3 linked regions of the Canis lupus familiaris genome follow. The protein of the gene in region 1 binds, or shares a complex with, the protein of each later gene. Links are inferred from orthologs where the notes say so. Each region holds a gene or a part of one and is shown on either strand. Other genes may lie near its edges.

Evidence for each region.
Region 2: CASC3 (region 1) and MAGOH share a complex: the UniProt entries of both Homo sapiens proteins name them as parts of the mRNA splicing-dependent exon junction complex. The link is inferred for Canis lupus familiaris from reciprocal best matches to the Homo sapiens genes CASC3 and MAGOH.
Region 3: CASC3 (region 1) and MAGOHB share a complex: the UniProt entries of both Homo sapiens proteins name them as parts of the mRNA splicing-dependent exon junction complex. The link is inferred for Canis lupus familiaris from reciprocal best matches to the Homo sapiens genes CASC3 and MAGOHB.

Annotation. Positions count from the first base shown.
Region 1 is NC_049230.1:22,373,093-22,381,133, reverse strand, and holds the start of CASC3 (protein CASC3), read left to right. Parts: upstream 1-3,373; 5' UTR 3,374-3,433; coding exon 3,434-3,664; intron 3,665-4,032; coding exon 4,033-4,060; intron 4,061-4,375; coding exon 4,376-4,413; intron 4,414-8,041. UniProt on the Homo sapiens protein: Required for pre-mRNA splicing as component of the spliceosome. Core component of the splicing-dependent multiprotein exon junction complex (EJC) deposited at splice junctions on mRNAs.
Region 2 is NC_049226.1:56,146,724-56,154,850, forward strand, and holds the start of MAGOH (protein mago nashi homolog), read left to right. Parts: upstream 1-3,717; 5' UTR 3,718-3,847; coding exon 3,848-3,935; intron 3,936-6,566; coding exon 6,567-6,625; intron 6,626-7,886; coding exon 7,887-7,997; intron 7,998-8,127. UniProt on the Homo sapiens protein: Required for pre-mRNA splicing as component of the spliceosome. Plays a redundant role with MAGOHB as core component of the exon junction complex (EJC) and in the nonsense-mediated decay (NMD) pathway.
Region 3 is NC_049248.1:11,015,490-11,023,738, reverse strand, and holds the start of MAGOHB (protein mago nashi homolog 2), read left to right. Parts: upstream 1-3,830; 5' UTR 3,831-3,924; coding exon 3,925-4,018; intron 4,019-6,774; coding exon 6,775-6,833; intron 6,834-7,551; coding exon 7,552-7,662; intron 7,663-8,249. UniProt on the Homo sapiens protein: Required for pre-mRNA splicing as component of the spliceosome. Plays a redundant role with MAGOH in the exon junction complex and in the nonsense-mediated decay (NMD) pathway.

The sequences.
Region 1 (8,041 bases):
TAAAAATAGATTTGTATGTGTATCATCTTGGTCTCCTTTCCCCCCATTTTGTTAAAAAAAAATTCAGGACAGCACTCCAGGCCACTTTGGTCTCAGTGTAAGATCCCTGTAACTATCTGGAAGGAAAATAGAGCCAAGACCTCTGGTCTTAAATATATAGGAAATGCCTTTGTTTAGTCTTTATGACTATGGTGTGAAAACAAGTAGGGGTCTAATCTCCTAGAAGGTAGGGGCTTTTATCCTTGAAGAGAATATGTCCCCAGATTATTAGCACTTTTAGAGGAGAAGCCAAGGTATGTAGGGTGTGTGGCCGGCCCATCAATGGAGCATGAGAAAATGGGGATACCATTGTGGGAAGAAAAGAAAAGTTCCTCAGGGGCCTCCCACTGCTAAAGATTTTTGTGACATGTTGATCTGTGCTCCCTGGGTTTGACTTTTAAAGGAATTATTCCGGCAGCACATGTAGTATTCTTGGATGATCTTGCTGCTTTTATTTCTCCTTTTGTGTGTGTGTGTGTGTGTGTGTGTGTGTGTGTGTGGCTATGGGTTTTCATTTGTAACTCCATCTGCTTAGGAGAGTGGGCTCTCCACAAGGGAACCTGCTGTGAACTTCATCGCAGCAAGAGTGTAGAGAGAAATAGGACTTATTCCACTAGGGGCTCTCATCTCACACCTTAAGGGGAGGAAAGAGATTTCTAGAAAAACTGGGCCAGATTTTCTTTGTTCTCCATCATTTTAATATGGTAAGCTGTTTGGCTTTCCTACTCTGACCTATGTTATGTTCCTTTATAATGTGCCCAAGAAGAAAAAAGACCAATCAGTGTCTCTTTACGTTGTTCCTTGATTCCTCGGTTTCTTCTTGGTTTTCAGCATTTGTCGGATTCCTAATTTGGATATGGGTTAGCAAATTAAATCTTTGTGTTTGTGCCCTATCCAGGAGACTCCCCAGATTCTGAACTTGAGCTAGACTAAGAGGAATCCATGAGGTGCTATCTGGCCAGACATAAGTGGATTCTATTTCCTTGGTTCTCCCTCTACCTAGGACCGCTCATTTTATTGTCCCCTCTTCTAGATCAGTTCTCCTTTGATTTGGATGCATTGAGGTTTTTTGAGGAGGTTGGAGAGTAGATTAGCAAAGTCCCAAGAGCGAAATTACAGTGTGTTAGAGTGTGGGGGGAAAATTAGTCTTATTTTTTCCCTACATGGGATACAACACTGTGAAATTCAATCTTCAACAAAGGCCCTGCAATTCTCCTAAAACATAGTTCTTTGTTTCTTTCTTTAACAAAGTTTAAGCTAGTGTTAATAAATTAAAAAGAAAAATTGCTTGTCTGTCCACTTCAGCTTTGTTTTATGCCCATTTCATATTGTTGTCTGTGTTGTAATTCATACTTTTGATACCATTTCTGATGTGTAAAATTGGTTGTCTTGTAAATATCTTATAAAGAGTTCAATTGTAAATAAACTATTGTGGCTGTTAATTTTTGAACTTCCGCTTCAATTTATTAGATATATTGGGAAGCATTAAACGGTTCTGGTAGATATTGAAAGATTAAAAATAGAAATCTATTTTTGCAAAATAGAAAAATACATCATTTTCTCTTTTATTTGTGTATGAACACAACATGTTTTTCATCCCTTTGTTCTGTGTTCTCCTTTACACCTATGGTGAGTGGCAACTTTAAAAACAAGATTCTAGGACAGGATACTTGGTGCCTGGTGTCTAAATGAATAAAGCCTCCTAATTGAAAAGACCTTAGAGGTCATCTAGTCTGACCCATAACGCATGATTTTCCCCTTGACAGCATTCCAGACAAATGAAGTCCAGCTTCTGCTTCAACATTTCATTTTTTTCTATGCATTTTTTCCTAAATGTTAGAAAATCCTTCCTCACTGGTAAAATCTAACTTGTAACTCCAACCCATTGGTTCTTGGTTTGCCTTCCAGGGTGATGAAAAAGAATCAATTCTTCCTGTTCCTCATAGTCTCTTGAATAGTTAGATTGCTGTGGCTGTCAAATCTTTTCTTCATGGTAAACATTCACAGAGCTTATATTTATTCCTCAAAAGTAAGGATTTTGAATTTTTCAGTTCCCTCTAAGTGAACAAATTGCTTGTATTCATTTAAAAATTGAACCCAGACCAAACAACTGAAAGGTAAAGTGGCAGGTTATCGCTTTCCTTATTTAGACACTAAACTTGGCAGCTTCATTTGCATCAATTTACCTTATGATAGAAAAGATCCTCCAGATCTTCCTTTCTTTCCAACACTTATTAAATCATACATCCTCCATTTGAACTCTGGCAGCTGGGTTTTGGAGCTGGATTTACAAGTTGTCACATTTGGCCCCTTGTTTAACTAGTTGAGATCCTTTTAGATCCTGAATCTATCTATGAAGGCATTCAGATTGGCTTCTAGTTTCATATTGTCTATAAATTTGGTAAATATCAGATCTTTAGCCATGTAGTTTTTAAGAAATACTACAGAGGACAGAATCCTGTGCTTTGCCATAGTGACCTTTCTCTGTTTGATACATATCAATAACGTGCACTCCTGTAGGTATGCTAATCACTTAGCTTATGCATCTTGAGTATATTTATTATGGTCCAAAGAAATTAAGACTTTTTTTTTTCATTGTTGACCATGTCTTGCCAAAACCCAAGCATTCCTCTCATCTACCGGTCTGGTAACCTTTAAGAAGGAAATCATGTCAAGATACTGAACCAACGCTTGTTCCCATCATCATCTCTTTTAGAATCAGTTCCAAAATCTTGGCTGAGTCTGGCATCATACCAGCCTGCACTTTGGAAGAGGTGATAGCTGGGGTGGGAAGATACAAGATGAGGAAATGAGAAAACAAAAACATGGTAGTGATGCAACACTAAGTCCTCGAGCTTCACTGCAAACAATTGCTTTCTCCTTCACCTTTTAGCTTCAAATGGGCTGCTGTGGCAAATCTGATACATCACAACAGCTTTAGAGGTTTACCTTGACTGATTTTACCGAGCAAACGAATGCAGTAAAATGATCTGCTTCAAACGTAGGTAGAAATGAGAAACGGAAATAGAAAACTATGAAACAGCTCCAATGCCGCAGCGAAGCTGTAGCAGGTGGGCGCCCTCCACTCGGAAGGCCCAAGATGGCTGGGCGAGGAACCGGAGGCGGCTGCCCGGAGCTCAGCTCCCCACGCCCGGGGCCTACTCGAGGGAAGACGGGGTCGCGGAACGCCCCCGGTACGTCACCGATTACGTAATCCCACTCGCCTGCAAAAGTGCCGCAGGGCGGCAGCCCCGCCCCTAGCCCCTCCCCCTGAAAAGCGCGGTGGCCCGTGTCGCACGTGAAGCATGCTGGGATTAGCTCTCGAGCCTCCCGGCAGCCCCTGCGACGGGCGCGGTACGTAAGGAGCTGGCCGGCGACGGCCGTTCTCCGTAAGATGGCGGATCGGCGGCGGCAGCGCGCTTCGCAGGACACGGAGGACGAGGAGTCTGGTGCTTCGGGCTCAGACAGCGGCGGCTCCCCGGCGCGGGGCGGCGGGAGCTGCAGCGGTAGCGCAGGAGGCGGTGGCAGCGGCTCTCTGCCTTCCCAGCGCGGAGGCCGAGCTGGAGCCCTTCATCTGCGGCGGGTGGAGAGCGGGGGGGCCAAGAGCGCTGAGGAGTCGGAATGTGTGAGTGCGCGCGGGTGGGCCGGGCCGGGGGGCGGGGTGTAGGTGGTGAAGGGACGCTGGGAGTTGATGGTAGATGCTGGGGCGTATTGTGTTAGAGAAGAGAGCTATCCCAGTGCAGTGTGCATCCGGAGCCCCGAGGGAGGAGGTGGTGTTGGGGTTTCTGGGGGAAGGGCAGACCCGCTGCACGTGAAAAGAGGATCTTTATTCAGAAATTGGGGCTGGAAGTGAAGAGACCGGACCTCCCTCGTTTGCTACTTGTTAAAGATGTACCTTTTCTCATCTCCCTTTTCAACCATTTTGTGTTGAGTTTTCAGTTCCCCACCCTCTGGGTATCAAGGAACTAAATCATGTCATCTTCTTTCCTTCAGGAGAGTGAAGATGGCATCGAGGGCGATGGTGAGTAACATCATGACAAGTATTTTGCCCGTCAACTCACATCACCTATTTCCACCAGTTGACATCCTCTCAGACCGTTAAGGATTTGGGGGCGGGTACCACTGAGTGGCTCTTTGTAACACAATGCCTACAAGCTTACGTTTTAGCAGTATGATCTTGGGCAAATCACTCATTGAGCCTGTTTCCCATTTGTAACTGGGAATTATGATTTTCTCTCTCTGATAGATTGATGTCAGAATTGAACGAGGGTCTTAGCTTGACTCAAAAAGCAGTGAGTAATAACTTTTTTCTTTACATATTTCTGTTTCCTTTCAGCTGTTCTGTCGGATTATGAAAGTGCAGAAGACTCTGAAGTGAGTGTGATAGGCTTTTTTTTTTCCCTATGGTATATGGGTTGGAAATTTTTTGATGTATTTTAAGAACGTGTATACACCTGTGGTTCAAAAGTACCATGACCTCCTTGTTATTTCTCTTGTGCATTCTTCATTTATGTTTCTCAAAAACTGTTATTAAAGGTCTTGTTTATTTAGAGTGAGAGAAGTTTGGTGCATTCCACATCAGGTTTCATGTGTTAGTACTGTTAGTAGTTGGCTTTTCACCCTGTCTGAAGAAAATAAGTTTCTAAATAAGAGAATGAGAACATCCTGAAGCCCTTCACAGAATAAGAGTTCCTTTTATGCTAGGAAGTGAAACCAGCTAATTGAATTTTTTTTTTTTTCCAAGTGTATGTGAAGACCTTAAAAGGAGAGGATCCTGAGTTGTTTGTATCAGAAATATCCCTGTTTCTAGGGAGCTTTCTCCCTCCTTAAATTCAGGAGAAAATATCCATAAGCCAAGCTTTTGTGACTTTATTTGTTTTGGTTAGGTGAACTACTAGAGATGCTATTTGTTTCCTGGGGTTGAATAAAGTCCTAATTTCTGGAATTTGGGTCATGAGGTTATGGGCAGGAGGAATTGGATTGTGGATCAAAGGTTCATTCTGTAAGTTTTGTAGAACTGTTACTACATATTAGATTTCCATTACATCCTGGAGATGCAACAGCAAACACTATACTAAAATTTCTGTCTTTAGGAATGACTTAGGAAGTCAGATAAACATGCAGGCAGTCCTACGAGTTGGTGACAACTGCTGGGGATAGGCTTAAGCTTAAGCAGGGTGTTAATGGCTGAGTACTGACTCCATCTTAGGCCGTCGAGAATAAGTTGGAGTTAGGCCATGTTTTAGGCAGAGGGAACAACAGCTGTGAAAATCCAGACACAGGAGAGAAAACTGAATATTTGGAAACTTGGAAGTAGTTTGGTGTGGCTGGAATATTGTTAGGATGGATACCAGAAATAAAGGCTAATTAGTGAACAGGGATCAGATCATGAAGGGGTTTACTTGTTCCTTTTCTTCATTATGCACCTGCTGTATGCCAGGAGTTATACAAGGCACTAGAATAAAAGACAAACATAGTTCTGCTCTCCTGGAATTTACATTCTGGGGAAAAATAGACAACTTTAAGCAAGTAATTACAGTAATGTTTGGTGTCGTGATATCAGAAGCACAGGGCGCTTTGGAAGCACATGGCAGGGGCAATGAATTGTTTGGAAACGCTTAGAGGATGGGATGTTGAAATAGAGACTTGAAGGGTGAGTAGGAGTGAGCCAGGCAGTATTCTAAGCAGAGGGAACACTGTTTGGGAAGAAGGTCTAGAAGGGATGGACTGCATGACAAATTGGAGAATATGAAAAGTTTAGTGTGACTGGGGCTAAATGATGAGTCTGAGTCCAAATCTTAAAATACCTTGTAAGCCTGATTAGAATGTATTTGGATTTTATTCTAAGGAAGTAAGAAAGCATAACAAGGTTTTAAACAAGTGTGATATGGATTAGACTTAAATTTTAAAGAAGTGTTTTTCAGAACTAAGGAACTCCTGCATCAGAAAATCCAGTTGGAAAAAAAAAAAAAGAAAAAAAAAGAAAAAAGAAAATCCAGTTGGCCAGTTCTTTTTTTTTTTTTTCAGTTGGCCAGTTCTACTGAAACAAAATCTTGCAGAGGGAGGGAAGACTCAGGCATTTATGTTAACAAATCCTGGATTGATGCTTATGCACAATAACATTGAGAATTATTATAACAATTATTTTGTTTGCAATGATAGTTGATCTGAGGGGAGCAAGATCGGAGGCAGGAAAGCTAGTTAAAGCTATTGTGGACACTGAGTGTATACTGTATATTGGCAAATTGTATTTGTTTACTTAAAAGATTTTATTCATTTATTCATGAGAGACAGACATAGGCAGAGGGAGAAGCAGGCTCCTTGCGGAGAGCCTGATGCAGGACTGGATCCCAGGACCCCGGGATCACTACTTGATCCAAAGGCAGACACTCAACCACTGAGCCACCCAGGTGCCTTGGCAAAGTGAATTTAAATAAAATATGTATGTATTTATTTATAAAGATTTTATTCATTTATTCATGAGAGACACAGAGAGAGGGAGAGGCAAAGACATAGGCAGAAGGCAGGCCCCATGCAAGGAGCCCGACCCAATCCCGGGACTCTAGGATTACGCCCTGGGCCGAAGGCAGGCGCCAAACCACTGAGCCACCCAAGGATCCCCAAAATAAAATAATTTTTTTAAAAAAAAGCTATTATGGAAGTCTAGGAAGCAGTAAGCATGGACTGGAGTGGAGTAGTAGCAGTGAAAGTAGAAGTGGACAGAATTGAAAGTTATTTAGGTTATGGAATTCCCAGAATGTGGTGATTAATGAGATGCCTTATTTTCTCTGAAGTCAGTGATGAAGTTATCTGCAATGAGTAAAAGGGAGATGAGAAGTTTTGGGGTGAGGAATGTTTGCAGTAGTCACTAGAGAATGGAAACCCTGGAAACATTGTCAGGCGGTATGGAGTGTTCAGTGAGGTTTGGTGATTGTGAATTTATAGCATCTCACTATTCTGTATGTAAATGAGTTTGGTTGTTATCCTAATAATGAGAAAGAAGGCTACTGAAGGTCTCATTATGGGGAATGAAGCAAGACTTGGGACATGGAGAACCGTTAAGAGATTGTTAGGATAAGCCAAAGAACATCATGGTGCCCTAAAGAAGAGACATGGCAGTGGGACTCAGATTTGAGAGATGTTTAGGTGGTACTAACAGAACTTCTTGATTGATTGACTAAGGAGCTTGAATTAAGGAGTCAAAAGGATGCCCAAATTGATGAATGATGTTATTCCCTAAGAATGAGACCCAGGAGATTTCATGGAGGACATTGATGGGTGAAGTTTTGGATGTTTTGAAATTGAGGCCTGTGGGACTTTGAAATGGCAATATATAGTAATATGGCCTAACAATTGAGAAGAAAGCCTAGTTCTACTCTGTCCAATACAATAGTCACCAGCCAGATGTGGCTCTATAGTTAAACTTAAAACTTCAGTTCTTCAGTTGCAAAGCCACATTTTAAGTACTTAATAGACATGTGTGGCCAGTGGCTGCTATATTGGACAGCATAGATAAAAAGATTTCCGTCATTCTAGAATTGTATCGGACGGTACTAGTTTAGATTCAGAAAAAAGATCTGGTGTCCTGACTTCATAGTAATGCATTACTTGCTTGCTTTTTTTTTTTTTGGTTACTAAATGTATACCTAGACACTACAGTTCAGTTTTGCCTATTAAAATTTGATCTGTCTCGGAACGCCTGAGCTGCTTAGCGGTTGAGTGTCTGCCTTCAGCTCAGGGCGTGATCCGGGAGTGCTGGGATCGAGTCCCACATCTGGCTCCCTGCGTTGAGCCTGCTTCTCCCTCTACCTGTCTCTGCCTCTCCCTCTCTGTGTCTCTCATAAATAAACAAATAAAATCTTTAATAAATAACTCCTTTCACAATTTAAAAAAATTGATGTCTCTTAGTCTGCAGGTTAGTTTTTCATCCCATTTCTTTTTTAAAATTTTTTAAAGATTTTATTTATTTATTTATTCATGAGAGACAGAGAGAGGCAGACTT
Region 2 (8,127 bases), on another chromosome or scaffold:
GTGTATACCCAGTATTCAACATAAATTATTTTAGCCTTAAACAATCGATAAATACTATCGATACTATCATTGCGAAACGGGTGAAGGAACTACCCCAAGTCACACAGTTATATTTAGTAACCCCAAAGTACATGTAGCACATGGGGTGTTCTGTGCCTAGCTTGTCCTCCGCCTCTCCGTCTAATTTTTGCTTGTCCTTGATATTGCGTAGGACTGTTCCTTCACAAATCCTCCATTCTCTTAGACTCAGACCTAACCCGCAGGGTTGGGTAATTTCTGCTTCCATAACAAATTCTGCCTATTTGCATACCAGTACTTCTGCCTCGCCTCTACTTCTATGCCTCCGAGGCTGCTTTCACCAAGGTCCCTTGGGACTTCCTTGATTACAATTTTTTTTTATTTTTTCTTTTTTTTTTTTTCTTTTTTTTTTAATTTTTATTTATTTACTTATGATAGAGAGAGAGAGAGAGAGAGAGGCAGAGACACAGGCAGAGGGAGAAGCAGGCTCCATGCATCGGGAGCCTGATATGGGATTCGATCCCGGGTCTCCAGGATCACGCCCTGGGCCAAAGGCAGGCGCCAAACCGCTGCGCCACCCAGGGATCCCTACAATTTTTTTTTAAAGATTTTATTTTTTCTTTATCCATGACAGACACAGAGAGAGGCAGAGACACGAGCAGAGGGGGAAGCAGGCTCCAGGCAGGGAGACCGACGCAGGACTCGATCCTGGGCCTCCAGGATCACGCCCTGGGCCGAAGGCGGCGCTAAACGTTTACCCTGAGCCACTCCGGGTATCCCTTGATTACAAATCTTACAGTTTCAGTCTTTCTCTTCCTTGACCTGGAAGCAGTATCTAACACCGTTGGCACACCTTAGAGTACTCTTATTTTGGCGCACATGACACCATATTCCTGGTTTTTCCTTACCTCTCCGGCCACATCTTAATCTCCTTTGCCCACCCCTTACGAATCCATCCACGTTTATCATCTCCATTACCATTATCTTGGGTGATCATCATTATTAGCAACTTCCTACCAATATTGCAGCTAGAGTGATTTTTTTTCTAGAAGGCAAGAGGTCACGTCACCACCAGCCTTTCTATTGTCCTGCTTAAAGTTCTTCATCTGTTTCCCTTGCGTTAAAATCCAATACCTTTGAGTTTTGGCCCATATTCTAGTTTAATATGCCTTGTAAGCCATTTGGTTTCTGTCCCTTCTCCAACTTCATTACTATATTCACAACTTCATTCTGTATTCCAACCACACAGTTCTGGGCCCTCTATCTGGAACATTTCCTTCAGGAAGACTTCCCTTAGGCCCCTAGATTGGATTAGGAGCCATCCCATGTGCTTCCATAGTAGTCTGTGCTTCCTCTATTTGTAACCGTTGCTTCTACATTATAATTGCTTGTATGCTCAACTGCTTCCTCTGCAAGTTCTATAAAGGTCTGTCTTGTTCACCATTGTATTATTCCCAGCACATAACAATAAGTGCACAGACCATGTTCTTTCAGCTATACCATGTTGTCTCATGCCCCCAAACCTGGATCCAGTCTGACTGGTGTCCAGTTCCTTTAAGTTTTCTCAAAACGTTTGATATTTGCCACATCTGCAGATGCCCAGATTCAACAGTTAACAGTATAATTTTTATAAGTTCACTCTTGGAAAATAACTTCGTGGTAATTACCTGATGAATCTATATACTTAATTGAATTACCGCCTCAAGACTGTTGTGAGGATTCAAAGAATAAGCATTTGTAAATGGATTCACATTTATTAGGTGCTTAATACCTCGTGGTTCCCTTCTCTTTTTCATACAATTCCCTTGTTACCACCCATATCCCATGCTTTCTTTTTTTAAAGATTTATTCATTTATTAGAGGGGGAGGGGCAGCAGGAAAGGGAGAGAGAGGGAATCCCAAGTGGACTCCCTGCTTGGGAGGAGGGGGAGGGCCCAACATAGGGTTTGATCCCGGGACCTCAAGATCATGACCTGAGCCAAAATCAAGAGTCTAATGCTCAACCAACTGAGCCAGTCAGGTGTCCCCCAGTGTGTGTGTGTGTGTGTGTGTGTTTAAATAAAACACCCTATAGTTTTATAGCAATTTACAGTTGGCAAAGTATTTTTCCAATTTCCAAGATTTTGTTTTCTATTCTTACAACAGTCCTGCCAGATGTATAACATTATTTTTCTCATTTTATTTTTTATTATTATTTTTAAAGACTTTATGAGAGACAGAGAGAGAGAGAGAGGCAGAGACACAGGCAGAGGGAGAAGTAGGCTCCATGCAGGGAACCCGATGCGGGACTCGATCCCGGGACTCCAGGATCATGCCCTGAGCCAAAAGCAGACAGACGCTCAACCACTGAGCCACCCAGGCGTCCCTCATTTTATTTTTTATTTTTATTTTATTTTTTTGTCCCTCATTTTAAAGATAAACTTGAGTGAACCTCGAGATTCACTGATCCTAGGAGAGGAAGGGACTGATGACTGTGGCGTGGAAGGTTAGTTCACACCTTCGATCATAGCGAATCAAATCACACAAGGATTATTTTAACACAAGCTTCCAGTGATTTTCCCTCTTCACACCCACTCTACACCAGTTATTTTTGGGGGGAAGAAAAGGAGTAATGCTAAGACTGGGAATGAGAATCAAGAGGCCACTGACCTCAATGAAGAACAGTATACAATTACAGTGGTCAGGCCCCCAGAATGATGCCATCTTAGCACGGTCTCTAGACCTGATTTCACAATTCCCTGCTCTCACTGGAACTTCCACGAACTAATGCAGTTTCCTAATAATTAGGGTTTTGACTGTCCTTTGCCTACTCAAGGAGGAAAATTTTCCACAGCCTGAAAGACTTCACAGAGGTCAACCAATTTGGCCTGAAAGGACAAGGGGCTCTTGGGCATCAGTCCTGCCCCGTTGTTCATCTGGGGCGGGGGGGGGGGGGCGGGGGGGGTTTGCAAAAAAGTACCAACGCCCAGGTTCAGGGCGGCGAGAGAACCTGATTGTCTGGTTTGGGGTGGGGCCCAAGCATCAGTATTTTTAAGATGCTCCCGAATGACTCCGTTGTGCAGCCAGGTCGGAGAATCCCTGCCGGGTAAGCAGAGCCTAGAAAACGAGAAGGGGAAATTCCATATCCAGTTTAACCTCTACCCGCAGCACCTGCTCTAGAGACCAGTTAAGTAGAAAGGGAAAGGTAGGAATTAAAAAAAAAAAAAAAAGTAAAAGTAAAAGGGATAAAAGGGAGAGGTCAGTTCCAGGGAAACGGCAGCGGCACCACGGATTCAGGAAAGGCGTCTGTGGGGAGCGTTTCCGTGAGCAAAGTTCGGCCGGAGCCAACTTCTGACCCACGCGCCAGCGCGTGCGGCGGTCCGTGGGGTCAGCTCCTTCATCACCGACGGTGAACAGCTGTCTCGGGCTCGCCCACGTTGGGCCCACGCACACGGAGGTCGAGCCTGGGGCGCAGCCCTCGCGGAGCTCAGCCGGACGTCGTGAAGCAGGGTCCCCAGACCCGCCGCCCAAGCCCGGGCGCCCTCGCGTCGCCTGCGGCCTCGAGCCTCGGGAAACCCGGGGGCGACCCGTGGCCGCGCTCCCGCCGGCGGCCGAGGGGGCGGGGCTGCGCTGACCCCGCCTCCGGGCGACGGGGCTCTGGTTTCCGCCGGGGGATGCGCCAGACTTGCCGCCACTTCCGGGAACGCAGACGGCCTGGGCCGCTTCGCAGCGACCGGCAGCCTCGCCTTGACGTCACATCCGCGCGCCCCGGTAAACGTCAGTGTTGGGCGCACAGCGCGGCGACGAGGTTTGCTGGTCAAGTTTCGTCTCCGTTGCCTCCTTATGAACCATGGAGAGTGACTTTTATCTGCGTTACTACGTGGGTCACAAGGGCAAGTTCGGCCATGAGTTCCTGGAGTTTGAGTTCCGGCCCGACGGTAAGAGCGGCCTCTGGCCCCGGCCGAGCGAGGACGGGGCCTGGGGTCGGGCGAGCGGGGAGGCCCGGGCTCCGGAATGTGCGAGGAGGAGCTAGGAGAGGACGGGACTGATGACTGCGGCGCGGATCTGAAAGGGCCACTCCTGTGACCGCTCCGCTGGTTCTTCCCATGTGCACGAACTTTTTTTTTTTTTTTTTTTTTTTTAACTAGAATGCTTCATTCAGCAGACACTGATTGCATACTTTGTGCCAGGCTCTCTTTCACAATTTGGGACAAGTTTCCTCTCATAGCGTATATATTCTGGTGCTGGGAGAGATATAAACAAACAAAGATTTCAGATAATGACGAGTGGTCAGAGCATGAAACAAAACGATGGAGTAATTGCTAAAAAGTGGACTGCTTTTAAGCAGAGTGGCCACTGGCGTGCTCTCTGGAAAGGTAGTATTTGAACTGAATCCTAAGTGACAAGAAGGAGAGCCAGCTTTGTGAAGCTCGGGAAGAAGGGCATTTTGGACAGAGGGAGTAACAAGTGTTAAGGCTTTGGGGCATGAACGAGCATGTTCCAAGTGGCCAGTATGGCTGAGGAAGTAGTGAGCTCCGAGGAGAATAGTAGGAGACAATGTCAGATAAGCAGGGGTACACCATGTAGGTCTTTACAGGCCATGGTGGAGAGTTTGGATTTTATTCTAAGTGCAGCAGGAAGCAACTGGAAAGTTTTAAGGAGAGAAGAGATGTGATCTCTTCCTGAAAAAGTATTCTAATCATGGAGTATGATTAGAAATAGAGTAATGATTAGAAAAAGTAATCTATTCTAATCATTGCAAGAGTGGAGACAGGGCAACTTATTAGGAGACAGTGAACAGTTGTCAAGGTAAAAAGGATGCTGGTTGGGACTAAGGTACTATCAAAAGCGCATAGAAGGGTTCAGGATACTGTTGGAGGCAGAACCAATAGGACGTTGCTGTTTGATAAGATCTGGGGGAAGGACCACTGTGGGGAGGAAAAGGAATCAAAGATGACAAAAATAAAAAATAAAAAACCTCCCACTAAATGGGGGCACAAAGATGAATCTGACAAGCCCCAGTTGTAAACAAACAATGATAGGATAGTGTGTTTGATGCTGTGGTACAAAGAAACGGAAGGGACTCTGGAGCAGAAAGAAGGCAACCTAACCTAACCCTCAGGTAGCCTGAGGATGGGAGAAAGCTTCCTGCATAAAATGACTTGGGGGAAGAGGAGTGATAGTCTTAGTAATGTGCAGGAGTTGGTTAGGCATTTGGACATCAACATCAAAGAAGCTGAAAACCAAAAAGTGCATGGGATGTTTCAAGCAGAAACCAAGTAAGGTGGTTAACTCCAGCTGTGTAAGAGTGGACTATTGCAGGAGGGAGCCTGAAAGGCAGGCAGGGGCTCAGCTTAGCAGTTATGCCATGTTGAAGAATTTGGATTTTTATCAAGAAGGCAGTGAGAAGGGATCCCTGGGTGGTGCCAGCAGTTTAGCGCCTGCCTTTGGCCCAGGGCACTATCCTGGAGACCCGAGATCGAGTCCCATGTCAGGCTCCCAGTGCATGGAGCCTGCTTCTCCCTCTGCCTGTGTCTCTGCCTCTCTCTCTCTGTGTGACTATCATAAATAAATAAAAATTAAAAAAAAAAAAAAAAGAAGGCAGTGAGAAGCTATTGTCATTATCAAAGTGTTAGAGTAACCTGGGGCACCTGGGTGGTTAAGTAGTTGAGCGTCTGCCTTTGGCTCAGGTCATGGTCCTGGGGGCCTGGAATCGAGACCTGCATTGGGCTCCCTGAAGGAGAGCCTGCTTCTCCCTCTGCCTATGTCTCTGTCTCTCTCTCTGCATCTGTCATGAATTAATAAAATCTTACCAAAAAAAAAAAGTATTAGAGTAACCTAATTAGATTGGTCTGTTACTACATCACTTTGTCTACCGTATGGAGAATGAACTGAACCAAGAGAGACAAGGCAGAGATAGTGAGTGCAGTGAGGCATCAATTAATCTGGCTCTTTTTACATGTGTAATCCCAAAGGTAAAAATTCATCTATTTCCTTTTCTCTTCTTTTCCTTCATATCTAGCATATAGCCTTTTGGATGCATATACACACAAAAGGCCTTGTATACCAAATATGCTTAATAATAAAACCAAAACTTTTCCACCATAGGAATAGATCAGAGTATTGCATGGTCACATGAATAATATGTAAACAGCATTTTACAATTTTCAAACTGCTTTCACAATTCATCTGAGCCTCAGGAGGCCTTATGTGCAAGTAAGTTACCATCACTATCCCTGTTTTCAGCTGAGGACATTAACCTGCAGAGATATGATTTGCCAGAGTCACAATGTTCTGCTTATGTTCTTTTATCACACCTGAGCTGCCTTTTGCAAGAATTATAATTCAATGTCAGCAATATTCTGGCTTTGAAGCTACTTAATAGCCGAAAATAAAGAACTGAAAGACTGCTATTGTTGGAACATCAGAAGTTTGAATAGTAAATCTGGTAGACGCTGAGGGGAAAGCTAGGATACATTTTAAGCAACAGCTGATAGTCTTGGTGAGCTAATGAAGCTTTATTTATACGTTTTTAATATACACTGAATTTGTTTTTTCGCTCCTCACAGGGAAATTGAGATATGCCAACAACAGCAATTACAAAAATGATGTCATGATCAGAAAAGAGGTAATGAGCCTTCTGAGAGCCTTTCTTTCACTACAATTTAGCCTTTTGTCATGTTTTTGTTCTTTCTGGGAGTAAGTAGTATTGAAAAAGAATAGAGAAGTATAGACATATCTATAGACACCTTCTAAAATTTTTCTCACATCTTTTAGTTTATATTTTCTTTTACAATGTTAAACCACTTTTGTAATCATTTAAAGTCTTGCAAATCTTGGTTTAAACCCTGAATCTGCTATTTACTCTATGCCCCTGGGCAAATAACCTGGCTTGATAAGTTTTAGTTTCTTTGTCTGCAGAAACAGATATAATTAACCTGCCCCCCCCCCCCCCCCCAGTGCTATCACAGAATTAAATACATTATACCTAAAGTGTTTTGTGTATTTCCTGGTGCATAGCTTTCAGAAGAGCTCTTTAATTTGCATTTGGATGGGGGAAAGGGAACATGGGAAAGCAGTTCACATCATTGAATGCAGGTTAGATGCCAGGCTTGGCACTTGGTGTTTTACATATGATTTTATTTCACCCTGATTGTAAGCCTTTTTGATTAGCGGTATTATATACCCTTTACAATGAAGGCCCAGATGTTAATTATGGGGCTTGTTCAAAGTCACCTCATCCTGACGAGCAAGAGATAGAGTGGGAATTCAAAGCTATGCCTGCCTCTGTCAAGTCCATGTGCTCTATTTTGCTTAATTTCTGCCTCACTATTGAGGCTTCATCAAAGCTTCTCTTTCCTTTTAACCACTTTGTCACATTTGAAAATGTCTTAACAGTTACTATATCTTCATACTGTTATGTTTAACTAGCATTCAGTTTTATGTTTACCCACATGTCTCAGCCTGCTTATATACATATATATTTTATGTGTGGACTGATATACAAAATGTATTTTAAAAGATGTGTCTCTGGTCTTCATAAGCATGTCATCTCGGTAGGAATAACCAGGGTTCACTCACAGATCTTTTGTTCTGGGTTCAGGTGTGAATTCAGTCTGTAAGCAAGGAGAAGTTCCAAGTGAACAGGATGTGCCAAGAAGTAGAAACCGGTAGATGGGGTATGATGTATAGTCACTGGGCACTTCTGGCCCTGCCCTCTTGAGCATGCTGAGGTCACACCTGAATGCCATCTACCTTACAGTGGTGCCAGAGACCAGTTTTTATTAGCAGGTTTTTTTTTTTTTTTCTTTTTAATCTTTAATCATTATCTGAGTCAGAACACTTGCTTAGGGATGCAAGTTAAATTCCATTTTTTAATTTGCTTTCAGGCTTATGTACATAAAAGTGTAATGGAGGAACTGAAGAGAATAATTGATGACAGTGAAATTACCAAAGAGGATGATGCCTTGTGGCCTCCCCCGGATCGAGTGGGCCGGCAGGTGAGTGTTAGCAACTGTCCTATAGAGCAGAAGTTTTAAGAAGTAAGAGGAGTTTTACTGCCGTGCGTATGACATTGAATCTGTGTGTATGTATTAATGGAGCCCTACACAAAGTACATTACCAGCACAT
Region 3 (8,249 bases), on another chromosome or scaffold:
ACCTGAGAGATCAAAGAAAAAGAGAATTTTAGATGCAGGTAAAATCAGAATATTTTAACAGACTAACACTTATAATAATCATCTCTGACCATAGCCCTCTGACTTGATTCATTACTGTGAAGCTGAAAGCAATAAACTTAAAATCTCAGGGGAAAATCATTATTTTTTCAATGAATATTGTGTATTTGATTAAATCATTAAGCCTTAATTTCAGCTAGAGTTGGAAATCAAATGCGCATTTCTTGGCTATTATATTTTTAAAAGATTTATTTATTTATTCATGAGAGGCACAGACTGAGAGAGAGAGGCACAGACACAGGAAGAAGGAGAAGCAGGCTCCTCGCAGGGAGCCCAATGCAGAATTTGATCCCGGGATCATGACCTGAGCTGTAGGCAGGTGCCCAACTGCAGAGCCACCAAGGCATCCCAATTGCAGGATATTTTAAAGCTAACCACAGATAGGTTGCCTTAGCGAAGACAGAAGTAGTTCTTTATTTGGCTTCATTTAAGCTGCCCAAACATTTATTTTCCTAAATAAACTCTGGTAATATTAGTAAATATGCTCTAATTTGAACCCTACAGCAACTGAGATTGAGATTTCTCAGTTTGAAAAATATTTTCTGTTTCCAGCCCAAGTTAAAGTATATGAAATGGTTCTTACAAATGAAATATTTCATTGAACTTAAAATTCAGTTCCTGATCTCACCAGCCACATTTCAAGTGCTTAAGAGCTATTCAGAACATTTCCACATCTCTGTTGTGTAACACCCAAGAAGACCACAAAAAACAAATGCTTTATCACTTTGCAATCCTTATAAGATACAAGAGATAGTAAGGCTTATTATTATTTTTTAAAGATTTTATTTATTTATTCATGAGAGACACAAAGAGAGACAGAGACACACAGGCAGAGGGAGAAGCAGGCTCCCTGTGGGGAACTCGATGTGGGACTCAATCCTGGGACTCTGGGATCACGCCCTGAGCCAAAGGCAGATGCTCAATCACTGAGCCACCCGGGTGCCTCAAGGCTTATTTTATTTTATTTTTATATATATAAAGGATTAAGTATATATATTTTCACATCTCTAACCCTCTCTGTTTTTCACATTTCATCTTAAAAACAGAGAGGGTTAGAGAGGATTAGTCTTTGCCTCAGAAGTCTTTATAGGGGATAAAAACAGTAAGTGGCCTATAAAGATCTTAACACTGTGCATTCCACACATGCTACCTACATAGTCTTAGTTCTAGTACCTGTAGCTCTCTTACGTAAGCATGAAGATGAACACTGGCATGTGTGCCAAATATCTGAAGAACATGCACTAGGGAATCTAAAGATATTGAATGATGCTCCCTGCAAAAAACAGGCCAAATGGATTACTGCTTGTATTTTCAGAGCTACTATGGAATATTGTGGCCAAATTTCTGTGGGCTATTCTTGTAGTAAGTACACTGACCAACTCATCCCAGTTTGCCTGGGACTTTGCGGGCTTTAAAACTGAAAGTTCCACATCCCAGGAAACTCTCAAATCCTGGTCAAACCGAATGGTTATTCACCTTAACGATAAGGGATAGTGCTTTATGTGTCTTGTTTATTTTCCATAATGGCAGCATATAACAGGGACTGAATAATTTCTATATTAACATTTATACAATGATTAATATAGATTTCTATATTGACGATATATGTGTTAATACAGATTCAACATAATCTGGCCCAGTCTGCCTTTCTAGTTTTTCTACTCGCATGAATCTTATGTGTTAACTATAGTGAATTTCTTCGCTTTCCCAAATCACACACTATGCCTTTGCTTAGGCTGTTTTTTGCTTAGGGTGTTTTCTGCCTGGAATGCTTTCTTTCCCTTTGAACATATACCAAATTTATTCAAGGATGTCTAATTTAAATAGTAGGTCTGGTCATAAGCCTTCCTTGATACTTCCCTTTCTTCAGTTTCCCCTACTCCCCAATAAAATGACTTGCTTCTGCTGTACTACCAGCATTTAAGAATATCCTTTCTTTTCTTTTTTAATAACTGATAACCAATTTATTAAAAAGGTTGATGTAAGCATCTGCACTGGTGACTTCAACCTCACCTTCTAGCTCAATACTGATGGAAGTAATTTGCTTAATAATTTTAGAAGGGCTGTGCAAATCAATGAATCGCTTGTGGATCCTCATCTGAAAATGATCCCAAGTCTTAGAACCTTGACCATAAGGAATTTTTCTTATAGTGATTCTCAGAGCCTTGGTAGGCATCTAAACTGGTCCTTTCACTTTGAGATTCTTTTCCTTTGTGCCTCTGATCAAGTCAGTACATACCTTCTCCAAAGACTTTAGGTTGCAGCTGGTTAGGTAATTCTAATTCTGTGAATTGCTACCTCTGGTTCCACGGGTGTTTTCCCGATGTCTTTAAAAGCCATGGCTGCAGCTTGGCTCCCTGATGAACTTGTTCCTCTGGGACAGGGAACAGCAGTGAGTCAGGAGCTGAAGCTGGGTGTACAAAGTTCTGCTATTATTGCACCTGTATCTTCTTCAAAGAGCTAAAAATATTCTTTCTTTTAAGGTTTGCCTCCTCGTGTTAATACATGTCTACATGATTGCTTTCTTCTCTGGACTAACAGTATAAAGGGGTCTATTATTATTACCAGTGTCTGTCCATTTCTGGCACATAAGAAATGCTAAATGTTAAAGTCATTATGTGTTTTACAAATTTTAAAACTTATTATACATTTATTATCTCATTTGATCTTCTCAGTAATTCCTGAGCTTGGCAAAGTTGATTGTAGGATATTCACTCGGTTGGTGAACAAACAGGCGTCAACAGTGACTAAGCAAACCACGGTTAGTAGAGGTAAGTGATGGGAATGAATCCCAGGTCTTCTGACTGCCACTCTTTCCTCTATATCCTGCTGAAGGTTAAAGGTCACCCAACAGAATTACGCTGATGGTAAAAACAAGGGTGATCAATAATATTCGAAAAGCAGACTGTGTATAAAGTTTCTTTCCACTTCCTCCAAAACCCATTCTATACTGGGACACTACTTTAACCTCCCCAATTTAATTCTTTCTGGTAAGAATCGTGGGCTGGGGCGCCTGGGTGACTCAGCCAGTTGGGCATCTGCCTACTGTTCAGGTCACGATCCTCAAGTCCGGGATGCAGCCCCAAGTTGGGCTCCCTGCTCAGCGGGGAGTCTGTTTCTACCTCTGCCCCTCCCCCTGGAGAAATAAAATTAAAAAAAAAAATGTGGGCTAAACCATTTGATCTTAAGTCACATTCCCCAAACTCCACAGGCTACCAAAGATCAACCCTTACTGAATGATGGAAGTTTTACTATTAAGAGGAACTCTCTTAATACGGTAAATGTCAGAGATTTTTAGTTTCAAAGCGCTTTTCAAATTTCAGACCTCTTGTCTGATGGATTCTTTCTACTTCGCCTCTATTCTAGGTTCCATCATTGTACAAAGGGGAAAGCCCCGGTGAAGAAGCTAACTTCAGGAAAGGGCCGGTAGTCCGGGTCTACCATTCTGATTCCGGGCTGTTTCTTTTTGCACCAGTTAAAGGGGAATGAGGCCACACCCACCTCGTGAGGACGGGATGCCGCGAGGATTAGGGATTCGAGGAGGAAAAGCGACTTGCAAACCTTCATTCTAAACCCATAAGTAATCATTATTAGTTTTGCCAATACAATATGAGCTACTTAATTTGGGGGGGGGGGGGGAAATGGTCTTCCAACCTTAATTACGCAAAGTTCCTATCGCCCGGGCGCCTCTGAGCAGCTAGAGTCCGCCTCCCCCCACGGTCCTCCAGGGACCCGGGAGCGGAAAGGCGCGCCCGCAGTGACGCATTTATCCCGCGCGATGACGTGGCTGCCAGGCGCCCGGCGGCACGTTGGCCAGGCCTTGGGCGGGCTTCAGGGGGCGCAAACATGGCTATGGCCAGCGATTTCTACCTGCGCTACTACGTAGGGCACAAGGGCAAGTTTGGACACGAGTTTCTGGAGTTCGAGTTTCGGCCAGACGGTGAGCAGCGGAGCGGGGCGCCGCCGCCGCCGCCGCCGCAGCCTAGCGCGATGCGCGGCTGGGGGAAGCGGGGCGGAGAGGACTCGGAGGAGGCGGGGTGCGGTGAGCCAGCGTCGGGGGGCTTGCGAGTCTGTCGTGGGGGCCGAGGTCACGGCTAGAGCCGGAGTAAATACGAACTGAAGACTCTTCAGAAGCAGAAGTTGGTTCTCTGCATAAAAGAAAATTCACGGGTGTAGATGAATTCAGAAAATCGAATCCTGCCAGGTACTGAAAACTTGAACATAGGATAATGAGAATCCCACGTTCAGCGCACCGGAAGAGACCCTAATGCCATCTAGTTTACTTGACGTCATCCTTGAACATTTTAAAGAACATCCCACCACGCACTGGCCCAATGGATGCTTAAAATCTTTCGGGGACCGGTGATTCTCGGACTCCCCATTCAACCATTGTATTCGTTCAGGCGCTGTCTGTAAGGCCACGTGTCTAGGAATAGGAATGAGACCCACTCTGAAGAAGGAAGCTCCACGTATGGAAGAATGGGTATAATGATGTGGTTTGGGTGATTAAATATAGTTGTTCCCATAGGATGCGTTAAGAATACAAAAGAGGGGAATGGTTAGGGCTACATGTAGGCGTCGAGGAAAGCTTCCTAGAGAAGGTAACGTTTGAAATTGTAGCTGGTATGCAGGGCTATTCTGGGGTTCCCAAACAGACCAGATTGGGGGCGCAGCCGCTGATAACATCCAAAGGCAGAGAATCTACTGTTGGTGAAACAAGAAAGGAATTTAGTTCAGAGAGGCCGGCACCAAGGAGACCATGGACTAGAGTCTCAAACACTCTCTCTACATGCCAAAATGCCAAAAATACATGCCAAAAAAAAATGAGGGGCAAAGGTGCGTTTGAGATCATGGTGGAGGTAGCCCAAAACCTCTTTCAAGATGAGTCTTGAAATGAGAATAGACTTTTTTTTTTTTTTTTTAAGATTTTATTTATTTATTCATGAGAGACACAGAGAGGCAGAGACACAGGCAGAGGGAGAAGCAGGCTCCATGCAGGGAGCCCGACGTGGGACTTGATCCCGGGACTCCGGGATCACGACCTGAGCTGAAGGCCGACGCACAACCGCTGAGCTACCCAGGCATCTCGAGAATAGCTATTTTCTTGGCCTGTGAGGGAAAAACAACAACAAACATTCAGACCGTGGGAAGCAGCATGAACAAAGGATAAGGTGGAAACTGCTGCCTTGTAGGTGCAGCATATTTTATGTTTTGAGAGCCCTGATTCTCTTTAGAGAGTTATTGTATATTGAACTCTCCTTAGAACCAGGACAGTCCACCTGCATAGATTTTTCTGTCTTTGAATGCCCGTTATATGCTGGGCAACATGTAAAATACAAAAATTGAGGGTACAATAATGAGCAAGTCTCTTCAACTTCTCTGAAGGAGTTTTGCTTTGGGTAACAAAGATGTAAAACTAGCCATAAAACAGTGTGGATATTAAATGATGTGTTATGCTTTGGACAGAGTTCTGTGAGAGTGAAAGATAAAGCACAGAAGCATCATCACATATTAGAGAAGGGGGAATAGTATCAGACATAAAAAGAAACTCAAAGTAACTACAGCCCTGCAGTTCAGAAACCTTAATCACTATTCTCCTATGTTCTTGCCATGTCTCTTCTAAATTTAGCTAAGGAGCCAAATTTACCTGAATTCTCCATCTAATCTTTTCTTAGGTGATACTCCTTTTAGTGCTTTTGCCTGTAAACAGCTTTCAGCTTGCCTAGATCATGTTTAGTCACATAAATTAAGTAGTCTCATTTATCAGGGAGAGTTCATGCCAGAACAGTGGTTTTCATCCAGTTGTCTGCCACCACACCATTCCATATACTTCCTTCAGTGATCAAGGGTCACTGCACTAGGGTAACCTATCATTTTAGAGATCAGGACCACATTACATATGTATATGAACAACTGACTATAGCTATGAGGAGAAGCATGCATCAGGGAGTACAAAAGTCATGGATTAAAGTTAAGTGTAGGTCAGCTAACAAACTGGCCGACTTTTATCTAGAAGCAGTACATAGTTTTGTATCTTAGCCACAGTGTTAAATAGTAGCATTGCCATGCATAGATTAATTTGAAGGAGATAATTAAAAGAACACTTTGGAGTAGTGGGGAAAGCAGGAGTATTGGAAGAAGGTAGACCTAGAACTGAATCTTTGTGACCCTGGGCAAGTTATTTAACTCTGTTTTCTCAACTATGAATAGTTGAGAGAATAAAACCTTTTAAGGGTTGTTTTACCGATTAGATCTAATGCTCTGGGTAAATGACTTAGGGCCAATAGAGACCTATTACATAGGCTTTAAAAAAAATGTTAATTCCTTTTTCAGAGTCCCTGTTTAGTTCATGACAGCTTAGGCAAATGAGCCTTAAAAATGACCCCTCTATTATATTGAATTATATTGAAGGCATGAAATATTTAAAAATTATGTTAAATACTTTAAAAATCTATTGAAGGCGTGAAAGTTTTGAAAATGACTGGCTTCACCTTTAGCCAACTTTTTACCAACAAATATTTGAGTGTTTACAGGTCTAGCATTGATCTTATGCTGAAAGGGCAGAAATATTAATGAAAATAGTATAAATCATCTTTACCTTCAAAATTGCTTTCATTGTCATTTATTTATTTATTTGTTTATTTATTTATAGCAGTTTTTGCAGTTATAAATTGAATTTTTTTGTATTCCCCACAGGAAAGCTTAGATACGCGAACAACAGCAATTACAAAAATGATGTCATGATCAGAAAGGAGGTAAGTTCTTTTTGAATGTCTAATTTTCTACATTTAGACCATTTTCTTCATGTCATTTTTGAATTTACAAAAATACACCTAAGGCTGTATTGCTGTAAAGAAGCCAATTTATAGGTTGAAAAGGGAGTCTTTAAATTAGATATAACGGTAGCATGTGTAACAGAAGAAGATGCAATCTGAGTATATTAAGTTGTAGTCCCACTTTTGAACATATAATTTCATTCATTTTATAATTAGTTATGTCTCCTTATCCCACTCCTTATTAAACTAATGGATAGTCAAGATTTAAACACAGTGAATTTTACATGAAAGGCTCAAAAGTTAGGGCTAAGTAAGAAAAAGTTCAGAGCAGTAACTGGGATATGTACTTGTATTTGTCTCTGTTCACCACAGATTTTCCAAATCACCATTAACCATTCAGATGTATTTGAGTTCCGTGTTACAAAGGCAGATCCAAAGTTTTAAAAAGGGGCTAGTGGAAGTTATTAATTTATTTATTTTAATTTAGTAACAGATATATATTAAAGGAAAGGGCAAGAGAGTTAATAAAGTTGTAAGATGAGTGATTCCCTCCCAACTTGTACTTTTGGAATCAGTATTAGATTTTCCTGTGATACTCTCTTTGAATATTTAGGTTTTGTAACTTTGTATTATCATTTCATCCTGAGTTGTGGGAAGAAATAGACATTGTGGAATTTTTATTGTAACTTGTTTTCAGGCTTATGTACACAAGAGTGTAATGGAAGAACTGAAGAGGATTATTGATGACAGTGAAATTACAAAAGAAGATGATGCATTGTGGCCTCCCCCTGACAGAGTTGGCCGACAGGTTTGTGTTCAGTGGTTCTTTAGGCATGGTAGTAGAAACTGGTAATATAAATGTTGTGTTTCTACTTATTTATTTAGAATAGATCCTCATTGATTCTTTGGTTTTCCATTTATTTAGTAGGCATCTGATCAATACTCTTTGATTTTATTTCACTTAGTCTCATTTTCTGTCCTACTTCTGAATAGTAAAGGAGTCAGTGCAGAGCTCTGAATTTAGACATCTTCCTGACGAGTCTTCTATGTAGCTTCACGAGTTAAAGTTATGATGTTTTCACACTGTTATGAATAATTGCTATTGTATATTAATTCTATTAAGAAAAAGTACAGTGTGAAATTCAAGACAAGATTCTTATTGACTATAAAATTCACTTTCTTCATTTTTATAACTTTGAGAACTCTTAGGCCCAAGAGAGGGATTTGATTGCGTCTTTGTGCAAACTGACTACCGCATTTGCCTCCTGTTGTTCCCTTTGGAGTAATTAATGTTTCTCAAAGGGCTTCTGGAGAAGTTTGTTTTTTTTTTTTTTCTTCTTTTTTTTTTTTTCTGGAGAAGTTTGAAGGCTTAATTTCCCTCTGTAGAAAGACAGT